3 linked regions of the Arabidopsis thaliana genome follow. The protein of the gene in region 2 interacts with the protein of the main gene of each other region in a pairwise test. Each region holds a gene or a part of one and is shown on either strand. Other genes may lie near its edges. The genes, in order: AT3G12180, AT4G29450 and ATBET12.

Region 1 (3,755 bases), on a different chromosome or scaffold from region 2:
AAAAGGTTTGTTGAAACATGCCTTGGTTTTTGTTCTTGCAGAGTTTCTGTTTGGGTCACCTTCTCCTCCTCCTCTTGGATGGACATGGATTTAAGGTCCACAGCGGGTTCAATTGCATCTCCGATAAACTAGATATCGGTGCGTTTTTCCACAGCCAGTCTATGTAATACAATGTAGCTTCATTCTTGATACATGATTTTTATGACTTCAATGATGAGACTGAACATTATATTGCGCAAAACAAAACTGATGAAACCCTCCATGTCAAACGATTTGTGATGAGTTTTCGGTAATCATACGTTATATAAAGCTACATGATGAATCCCTGAATGGCTAATTCTAAGCAGGGACGTAATAAAAACCTGTCACAATTTTCTAAAACACACTCAGAAAATAAAGAGAGAGTGGTTGATAACGCAGAGCGCAAGCGCATAAATCAAAACAAATGAAGTAGATCATCATCTTCCGTGAAGCTATAGACCGCAGAGAGAGTGAGCCTGCAAAAATGTTTTATGGACTCGGTAAGTAACTTCATAGTAGAAGAACCAAAGTAAGTGAAGATGTTAATAGGAAAGCTAAAGCTGTAGTTTTTTTTACCTAAAGACAACCATGATGAAGAGAAAGACGTAGAACCCGAGCTTGGTATACCGGAGCTTCTTTTCAAAGCTGATACCACGGAACACTTCAGTGACATCGATGAGATAACGTCGCTCTTTGTATCTGAAGAACAATGGGAGGCGCGTATTTAGTTTCCACGCATGTCAATCAAGAATCATAAGCAATATGGATGGATATAGATACTTACAACATTGCGTGATAGACTGTTACAGGGACGGCGACCAGAAAGAAGACCCAATGCCATGTGAGGAGGAAGAGAAGGCAGAGTGACCCTTGGAGGATAAACTCAGGTATTACTAATCGGTTGATACGGGTACTTGTTTCAAAAGGGTTCAAGTAATCAGCTTCTAAATCCGTTAAGCAGATAACCTACAAAATCACACACGATATCAATAGACTAAAAAGGAATCTCAATGCTTCAATCATTAGCAGAGGCAGTTAGTATGAGAGTAAACACTATTGGTAGTAGTATCTAACTTCATTCATTCACAGTATATAACTCGCAATTAATCAACTATATGTCTCAATTGACCAAGTATCATATACAAGCCTTGCAGACAATCCAAATCAGAACTAAGAACAACTTTGAGTTAGAAGCATAAGATTAAGGATAAACAATGAAACCTCTCTGGACCCAAAAAATTGTCAATTGTATTTAGTACAAAACCGACGAACACAAAGGAAAATTGTTCCATTCCTAATTTTTTAGCTAATTCGAACAAAAAGCTAAGTTGCTCGGTGTTTTTTCACAAGTACAATTCCGACAATCAGGATTTGAACAGTAAGGACAGATCTCGATTTAAGAATCTTAATGGAAAGTAAAAGGGGACAAACAAAGTAGATAGATTACCTGGTAGAAGACGGAAGCGACGAGAGCCAAGCTAACGAAGAAGGAGACTATCCATAAAAACAAATCCCAAGCCATATTTGCTCTCTTCAACAATTACGATTCGTCTTTTTGCGACTGCGACTCTTCTCCTTAAATACCTTTGAAAAAAAAAGAACTCTTCTTCTCTCAACAATTGGTGTACTTTACTTTGGGGTTCTATTGGACATTAGATTCTTCTTTCCTTTTTATTATTACTTCTCTAGTTTCTTTTTGTGAATATCCTTTTTGTTAAATTCCTTTTTCTTTTTCAACAAAAAAAAAAGATGCTTGGTGTTAATTAATAAAGAACTAACAAAATTTATTAACTGTATGCCATTTAGGCCTATACAAGCCATATAAGTAAATAATTTCATTTTTTTCTTCTCTTTTAGAATAATTATTTGGTTCTTTTAAATAAGTTCACTTGAAATTTGTTAGTTCTTTATTTAGGCCTATACAAGCCAAAGGATCCGTCCACTCTCCTCTTCCCGAGAAACTTGGTTGATACCGTACGTTTATATGTTACATTGTAACAAAGGCTTGTTTAGTTATCAACTGATTATGATGCATTACTCGACCTGATTGTTTTTGCAGGTGGAGAAGTCCTAGGACCCGGTGATAGAATTTCTCTTCTTCTGAAGATCCAGACGACATACACGTGGGACCCTGAGCTTTTGAACTGGTAAACTCACTGCTTTTTTTGTTGTTGGAAAAAAGACAAAAAGTAAAAATACACATTGTTTCCTAGCAAATACACATTAGTCTTCAACTTCTAAGAAGCAACAAATGTGATCTAATTTACGCTAAAAACATTGGTCTCCATTACAAACACGAAACCTAAATTTCACAAACTACTACATAATCTTTATTTTTTTCTAGACTTCTTCGATGATCTCCGGCTTTCAACTTTTCTCTGAGCAGCTTCGAACTCTTCTTCGTTTGGCTCAGAGTCAGCATTGCTACCATACCTAGAGACAAGTGAAGAGAACATTGAATCGAACTTCTCTTTCCTCTCATCTCCCCGCTGGGACATTACAGCGTATAAATCTTTATCTGCAGCCTTTGCTGCTCTGAAAGTATAGAAATTTTGAAACAGGTCACAACAAAGATAACTTCAGAGGGCATTTATTGGGGTGGAAAAGGTAGACAAATAGAAGCTTACTTCCGTCTCATCTTCTGGGGATTCGTGGGAGGTTCCATTTCTGCAATCTCCTTTGCCCATTTCTTGTAAGCTTTTGTTGATTTCACTTCTCCTGCAGATGTTAAACAATGGTATGCACAAACAAATCAGAACCTGGATAGGTTTTATAGACAAAAGAATTATTGCAAGAAAGAGAAGCCTACCCGCTGCAATGGCCTCATCGATAATATCTTTGAAACGGTGCGAATCAAGCTTGGGGTTCGAGCAAAGCATTGAGCAGAAAAGCCTGAAAGAGATATAGTACCAATAATGTTTATACAAACTTCAACTCACAAACTTGACAATAATGAAAACAAGGGGATGATTAATTACCTGCTCATTTTACCCTTAAACTTGTTATATAGCTCAATCAAATCATTCTTCTCGGATTCAGAACCCCTATAGTTGGCCTCAAACTCTTCAATATCTTCCTCGGTGACCTATAGCACAAATGATCAGTATACAGAACGAAACAGTTGTGTTGCAAAGTCCAAAAAGAAATCAATTGTGAATCATGATTCTTACCTTCTTGTACATTGCCTTGAAGAAGTCCCTCAAGTTGTCAACCACATCTCCCGAAAGATCCTAATGAGATAGGGAAATAACCAGTTTGTAAGAAAATCCTCCAGTACCTTTACTTAAGTTGAAAACTTTCTTTCAACTTACAGCATCATCAACTGAGCCAGTTTGATCATAGACTGCTCTTTTCTCTTCATCACCGAGAATCGAAATAACCTTTTGCAACTGCTGAAATTTCTCTTTAGCATCCTGTATTGGATAAGAAAAACAAGAATTCCGGTTACAATGTAAAATTGAATAGACCCCTAAAAACTAAGAAAAGTAAAGAAACCAAAACCCCTCAGTTAAACCTCATCATCCTTGTTTTTATCAGGATGAAGCCTCAATGCTAACTTATGATACGCTTTCCTTATCTCTTGTGGAGATGCTGTTGCTTCAACACCAAGAACCTTCAACAAAGACGCATTCATTAGTTCGTTTCACTGAATTCTACTAACCACCAAGAAAACAACTAAGAATTGCAACAGCTACGGTACAAATTGATCAAACCATGGATCTTAACCAAGTAAA
Region 2 (3,755 bases):
TCTTGGGGAGCAAGGATCACCACTCCAAACCTTGTTCACTTTATAAGTTGCTTTTATGCTTTCTATAGCATGAACTGCATTACCAAGAGAAAATGTGACTATGTGAGTTTCAGTAGAAATCTAATTCTATCTAAATAGAGATTGAAAGTGGAAACTCACTGTCTTCAATTGTGGTGGAAAATTCATCTAGAGATTGTGCGGTAAAAATCTCTATAGCATTGAGAATCGGTGGAAGCGTTGAATCTACAGTCTTCTGAATAGAAATCCAGTGATCTTTACCAGTGAAAGCTCTTGGATTAGAAAACGTCGTTGAATATTTTGAAGAAGGTTCGAAAGAAGTTTCAGAAACAGGGGAACCATTCCACAAAATCTTGATCTTTCTAGTCTCATTCTTCTCTAGTGTTTCGAGTTCCGCGAAGTAAAGATATGCGTAGAACCGAACATTTGGATCGTCTGATGTCCAGAACAATTCCAACGGATCATCAACGTTTTCAGGAGCAGCAGCTGTCTTAATAACTTCATCAGGTGGACAATAACCGTTCTGAAAAACATCGATATAGCCCGATGTTATAATCGAGTTCCAGGAGATATTTGAGGAGTATGGAGACCAAATACGATCGAATCTATCGTCTTGGTACCGTCCTGTTCCGTTTAAATATCCAATGTCCCATCTTCGATAGAGAACCAAAGAGACATTTCTTCCAAATTCAGTACCGTAGATTGAGCTGTTCACTGGTCGGAGCTCTAACCCTGAAATAAAAGGAGTTCCTTTGCCTTTATTCACAAGGCAAACATATATTGTATCCGACTCTGCAAAGCTTAAAATCTCTTTGGTGACTTGATCAGAAGCATTTTTGAATTTCACTGTCGACCAGAAGTTCACGTTTACATAGAGATCAAACTCAGGCAAAGCTTTTTTACCATCGTAGTTTCCATACATAAAGGAAGCTCTAATGAGATAAAGATGATCTTTTCCTTGTGAAAGTTTTAAGGTGTAACAGTTTCTGTTTCCTTGAGGGAAAGCTCTTACTTCAGCAAGAGTTGACAGCAATACCGGGTTTTTTGGATAGCCGTATTCTTCAGAGACCTTGAAGTTTACGCCGGTGGTTATGAAAGCTTCATCGGAGACGTAATTAATGTTAGTCATAGTGTCTTCAGGGGTATCGTAAGGAGGTATGCCACAATCGATGCTGATGTAACCTGGATCAGAGGAGAAGAAAGGGGAGTTACTTCCAACACAAGTAAAATTGTTTATGACGTCTGAGAACGTTCATGGATAGGTTTAAAAATCTGCCTAACTTCGTTTCTCTATATTGACAAAAACGTAGATCACAACTTTCAAGAACCTTCAAGAACATCGGTCAATTTCAAATTAGAAAACAGAGAAAAGAGAGAATTGTATGATTACTTGTAACACAAGACATTGTATAAGGGTTTGACTAAAAATCCAAGACATGTTTAAAAGACAAAAACTTTTCATAATAAAACTCAAGCTTTCTTCAGTCTGAACCTCGCCTCAATTTCAAATCAAAACAGAGAGGAGAAGAGGGAACCTGATTGGTCTTGGCCGTGAACTAAAATGGTGGTAACAAGGGCACAAAATATGCCGAAAACGAGATTAGCCCTCATTTTCTTCTCTCTTTTTTCAGAAGTTCTTCAGCTTACCATCTTCAGGAAAAAAACAGACTACGTGCGAGTAAGATAAGCTTAATTAAAAGCCAAAAAGTGCAAAGTCTACTCTTTATGGTATTAGCCAGGTGTTTGTAGACTTTTCTTTCATCATTGGCTCAGTAACTATATATATTTCCCACTAAGGACAGGAAGACAACCTGGATTTTATAAGATGGAATTAGTGACAATGTCACGTTTTGACTTTAGTGAAGTTATTAAAGATGTGATTAACATCCAAAATAATAGATAAAATACATAGACTGAGTCATTGATTGCCAGTTGATTTTGATCTGGGACAGAATTCAAAGTCTTTTTTTGTTTTATGAATTTTCTATAACAACGAAGTTACAGAGAGTAGTCACTTTAGAAGATGATCAAGAAATAGTACTAGAAGGGCTCATATATTTAAAGAAGCAGAGACTTTGGAGCCTTCTTTTGTTTGAAGGCCTAGTTTTGTTCCAAGGCCATCCTTTGTGTCCACTTTACTCCGAGCGAGATCCACCTCCACGACGGGCACGCTTCCCAGCACCGGGGGATTAAATATATTACCTGCGCAGAGATTATTCACATATATCTTATCATAAGAAATGTCACAATGTAACAGAAAAAGAGTCATGTGGTTTCATCACTAGTACTAGCTTATATTGAATGTCACAAAATCAGAGCTCAATAATTACCTATCCCACTGAAGAAAATGCCGTAATCCATTCCATTGAACACGGTTGGTATCACTATCGAATAAGGGCATTGTGTGGAGAATCCAATCTTTTCTCCGTTAGAGTGTTTAATAGATTTGCTTAGCTTGTTTACGCAACGTTTGAACTGCTTGTGGCAGTTAACGTAAGTCATACCTAATAAAAACCAAATATTAACTCAAGAATGGTTTTCATGCATAGATTATGTTGTTGATTGGTTTACCTTTTAAATCAACACAATTGTCATGAGTCATACAACAAGCATCAAGATCATCACAAGGTGGCTCTCCAGGACATCCAAAGTAACCTATCCCACAATACTTCCCATAGCGAATACCAAGACCTGAAAACAAAGATTGGATCAAAACATATAATGCATGCACAAGTTTTTTTCTCCAAAATCAAAGGAAGGCATAAGAACTAAGATGATAAGAAAAAAACAATCTTACTGTTGCAGTTCTGTGCAATGCAGGTGTTGCTGCACTTCTCCTGGCTGCTAACGACGGCGAGGAGGAGGAAGGCGGTTAAACCGAAAGCAACACGTGACAAAGCAAGCCCGGTGATCATCTTTCTAAATCTCGCTCTCTGGTTGAAGTTTTTGGGTTTTGTGTTCTTTCAAATTCTGTCCCAAACTATTTTTGGCTCTCTCTGGAATGGAATATCCCATTTTTGGTTGGTCCTCCTGCTTTCTTGTCCTTCCCCTCTCTCTCTCTTTTACGTACACAAGAATTTAAAAAATGAAGAAGTTGCATGACTACCAATCAAATCATCATATTTTATGGACGTTCCTTCTCGAAGAAGCATTATCATGGACGGTAAAAACAGAGTATCATTTTTGTTACCTCTTGGAACAGAACACGTTTAAGCTATGTATTCGCAACGGCTAATGATTTTCTTAATGCAATCTGTTACAAATAGATTGCAGATTAATATGTTTCGATTTTCGTATCATTGCTGATTTTTACATCAAGAAACAACAGAATTTATGTTTGATTTATTAGAAAAAAAAAATCCATATACACTTTTTCTTCTTTTCTACATTTGATTTCTTATATAAGTATGAATTCGTTTTGAATCCTCTCATATCTAGAGTAAAAGAGAAACTAATGTAATGTATAAAATACATGGGAATCATGAACCTGAGAGAATTCAAGATCTTGATCATTTTTCATAAGACAACAAAGTTAAATAATCTACAAAACTTGAGAGTTATGAGTCACCTAATGATCAAGAAGGAGAAGGGTTCATCGGAACAGAGACTTTGGAGCCATCTTTTGTTTGAGGGCCTTGATTTGTTCCAAGGCCATCTTTTGTGTCCGCTTTACTCCGTGCCAGATCCACCTCCACGACAGGCCCGGCACTTGCTGGCTTCTTAGGTATAATGATATT
Region 3 (3,755 bases), 6.2 Mb from region 2:
AGGAGAAATCCAAAAATGGAAGTCCCAAACGAAACTATTCATTTAACACTCTACTTTCTTCTTGTATCCAAATTTACCCTTTGATGTAGTTTAATAGCCTGCAAAATCCGAAAGATTGTCAGTGTTCGAGTCAAAGAACAAGGACTTGAACCAGTCCCTAAGAAAAGTCAAGTGTTTTGATAACTATAAGAAGAAGTGTATTTTACCTAATAAGGTAATACATGATCAAGAACAGGAGCACAAAATAAGCTATGAGTTTGCAACTTTTTCGATTAGACTTCTTCTCAAAGACCTGTCGTGTTAAAATCGAGTTTTATTCAGATATAAGTTTTGATAGCGAAAAACAAAAGGGGTGATGCATATATAAAAGGTACGAAATCTTATTTACATACCAACTTGAAGCGGTTGATCGTTCCCGACATTATCCCCCTCGCGGAGTCCATTTTGTTCCCCTAGAGATACAACAACAAATAGCTTAGAAGAAAAGCATGTGATAGAGATCTACAAACTGAAACAGATGAAATCAAACTTTCAGCTTACCACTTTGTCAAGCAAGCGGTTATGATTCTCAACTTCTTCATGTATGTCTCCAGTCACCTGATAAGATATTATTACCAACTTACATCTCAGGCAAGCGTTATTGCAAACTAGATTTGACAAGAGTGAAAACAAAAAAGGCATTGTTTTCATAACTAGACTTTTCTAAGGCATTACATCATAGCTCGATCCTTGTCGTTGAGTCCGAAAGACTTATACAGGGTCTAGTGATAGCAATGCTGGAGAGAATGTTCTTAATCTACAATTTCAATACATATCTAGGAACTAAAAACTAAGTTCAATTTCTTTATATCTAGACTTTTCGAAAGCATTAGATCATCGTTCGATGCTCGAAAGATACATTTAGGGTCTCGACTTAGCAGTGCTTAAGGGACTGTTCTTTCTCAAACAATAAGGATCAGTAGCACCATCCATTTCACAATAAAGAATCACAATTCTTAATCCTAATGTTTATGCTTGTGTTGATATTTTGATTCTTTAGTTATATAGATGAAAGAAACATACTCTCTTGAGAAACGAAACTCTGTCCTGAAGATTTTCCAAAGCTTCATCATTATCACGTTCGTCATGAGCATACGAAGAAGAAGCTCTCAAGCGACCTTCTTCAAGTCCATCAAGGCCATCAAAGAGAGACGTTCTCGAAGCACGATTCTCCCTACAGAAATCAAAACCATTGGTTCTTAATCAGATCCAATTTTCTCCAATTCTAGTTGGATACACTCAATTCAAAATCTGGAAAACTGTAATTAGAACTCTAGAATTAGGTCAATGACTCAGAATCAGGAATTCGAATGTCGGTGATTCAAAAAACTAAGATTTCAGAAAGAGTGAATCTGGAGATTGTGAAGAGATCTAGATCAAATTCGATCGAGAGCAGAATCAATATCATTTGTTAAACATTGATGAATCTACATAAAAACAGGATTCGAATGCAGAGGAAGAGATCAATAGATCAAACCTTCGAAAGTTCATTTGATTCGTCTTCGATTCTACTCTCTTACGAAGGATTCAACATAACAGACGAATTTAGAGCATTGTAAAGGAAATTCTCGATTTGGATTCAATTCCAGAAGCGTAAGTTTTCGTGTTTTGTTTGCGAGAAACGTACGAAAGTTCTTACTGTACTACAAGTCCCTAGAAGAAGAAGAAGAAAATAGAATTAAATTGAATTGGGCTTACTGGGCTTTAGTTCGGCCCATATTGAATCCATGAAGTTAGTTTTTTTATTTGTTAAAAGTGAACACTTTGAAGAAATGAACTTTAAAGAAAAGTCCAACCCTAGATGTATGATGGGTTAATTTGACAATTTATTTAAAGAATTCATGCAACTATTTTCTCCATGTTTTTCCCATAATTTTGTTTCATGTGTTTTATGCATTTTTTTTTACCCATTTAGAACTTGAATTAATACTTTGTTAGTGAATAATATTATCTCTTAGAGGATAAAACTGATACAAAAACGTGAAAAATAGTTAACCGCGTGTAATATCACAGGAACAAAATTCACACGGGGCTGGTAGCTGAGTCATCAAATCTACAAAATTTTGATGAACCGTTCTAAACCTGGATGAACGGTGGGACAAACGTTGTTGGCTCGTAGCAGAACGGCGACGCGGGATGTTGCCATTTCTTGAAAACTGGTGTCTTCTTCACCTCTTCTTCCACTGGTATCTCAGTCTTGTTCTGCGGCGGAGGAACATGTGATTGGTCGAAGGATGATGTTAGAGAAGGAGCGAGCGGTGAAAGGAGAGGGATCGCCACGTTCCAGTTACTAAAAGACGTTGGTTTGATCATTAAAGACGGAGCTCGTCTCTGTAGCTGGCTAAGTTGCCTCTCGTTACTGGCCGCGGAGCTGCTTGTTCTTTGCATCGTGGACGCCATGGAGATAGATTTGTGAATTGTAGGATAATTGAGTACTTTTGTATCAAAGAACATAATAATGATGTTGGTGTGTGATGTCTGATGTTTATGTAGATGACATATATAATAAGGTGAGGAGGGCCACGACTTGTAACATGTTGACTAGGTACATTACATACACGCTTGGATATGGTCATTGGTCAGAGTTGGAGAAAGAAAATTAGCTGCTTTATCTTCCCTTTTCCCGTTTCTTTACATTTTTGTTTTGGCAATACTCTTTGACCAATTCTTTTTGAATTTTCCATGCTTGTTTTTATGTTAAAGTTCTTTTTAATATTAAATTACAAAGACATCGATCTTGTTAATGGAAGTCAAACATGTTCATGAAATGTTAAATGGTGGATGAGGTTTACCTATACAGATTCTCGTGAACATGTTCTATTGGACTTTTATAATATATATGGACCAGAGGTGAATATGAATATGAATATGTAAGTTGAGTCTAGTGCGGACAGAGCTTTACAATCTAAGCCACAAAACAAAAGAAAGCAAAAATCGGACCATGTCACGATGTGCTTAAATATGTGAGGTTTTTGCATTTTTCAGGCCAAGTCAAGTCAACTAGCCGCCTGATTAACTTCTACACGAACAAAAAAATGTAATCCAATGGTTTGTGTTAGTGTTGTCAGTGTGTCATCACCCTTATGGCCTTATTCAAACCCGCATATTGCATGTTGCTAACCAAAATATAAATAGTAAGAAAGTTAACATGATCTTGTAATATATGAGTATACTGATTTGTATTATAAGTCCCATCGTGGTGTCATTAATCGAACACAGAGCCGTCTCTAGTATTTAATAGATTGCAAGCAAAGAACAAAATTTAGACCTATTTTAATGAGTGAAAATGAAAAAATAACAAGGTAAATGAAGGTAGATGGACTCAAACTTTTGACGACCATAGGTATCTAAGAATCAAATAATCAACGTTTTTACTGAAAGTTATAAAAAAATTAGGTCAATATTTTATTTGTAGTAATTGAGGCCGCAAGCATAAATTTGGTCCTATTGCGTTCATGGACGGCTCTGATCGGACATAAATACGGTATAAAATTTTTTAAAAATAAAAGTCAATAAACAAGATAAATCTTAGTATTTATTCGGTATAAAATAAAAATCTTTGCATATTAAATAAATATTTGAATATGTATTTGAATTATAGGATCTTGTAAAATAATGATTGTTATATGTCTAGTTAACAGTTTTATCGGTTAGACCGGCTGGTCAAGTATGGATCTAAAGACACTGTTCTTTTCTATGTAGCTTGTGTATTTAAT

What was found.
Region 1: the proteins of AT4G29450 (region 2) and AT3G12180 interact in a protein complementation assay, tested with the Arabidopsis thaliana proteins (one large-scale study listed by BioGRID).
Region 3: the proteins of AT4G29450 (region 2) and ATBET12 interact in a protein complementation assay, tested with the Arabidopsis thaliana proteins (one large-scale study listed by BioGRID).

What each region holds. Positions count from the first base shown.
Region 1 is NC_003074.8:3,881,252-3,885,006, reverse strand, and holds AT3G12180 (Cornichon family protein), read right to left. Parts: upstream 1,678-3,755; 5' UTR 1,544-1,677; coding exon 1,469-1,543; intron 988-1,468; coding exon 806-987; intron 721-805; coding exon 598-720; intron 498-597; coding exon 437-497; 3' UTR 143-436; downstream 1-142. Other genes in the region: AT3G12170 (Chaperone DnaJ-domain superfamily protein), read right to left, coding at 2,352-2,556, 2,649-2,739, 2,831-2,913, 3,000-3,106, 3,192-3,251, 3,333-3,434, 3,536-3,634.
Region 2 is NC_003075.7:14,480,998-14,484,752, forward strand, and holds the start of AT4G29450 (Leucine-rich repeat protein kinase family protein), read right to left. Parts: upstream 1,630-3,755; coding exon 1,554-1,629; intron 1,201-1,553; coding exon 160-1,200; intron 75-159; coding exon 1-74. Other genes in the region: PLA2-GAMMA (Phospholipase A2 family protein), read right to left, coding at 2,069-2,220, 2,349-2,522, 2,590-2,709, 2,816-2,933; PLA2-DELTA (Phospholipase A2 family protein), read right to left, coding at 3,594-3,755.
Region 3 is NC_003075.7:8,308,257-8,312,011, reverse strand, and holds the start of ATBET12 (Target SNARE coiled-coil domain protein), read right to left. Parts: upstream 1,694-3,755; 5' UTR 1,531-1,693; coding exon 1,517-1,530; intron 1,214-1,516; coding exon 1,063-1,213; intron 598-1,062; coding exon 541-597; intron 453-540; coding exon 393-452; intron 293-392; coding exon 207-292; intron 99-206; coding exon 74-98; 3' UTR 1-73. Other genes in the region: AT4G14450 (uncharacterized protein), read right to left, coding at 2,116-2,493. UniProt on the Arabidopsis thaliana protein: Required for vesicular transport from the ER to the Golgi complex. Functions as a SNARE associated with ER-derived vesicles.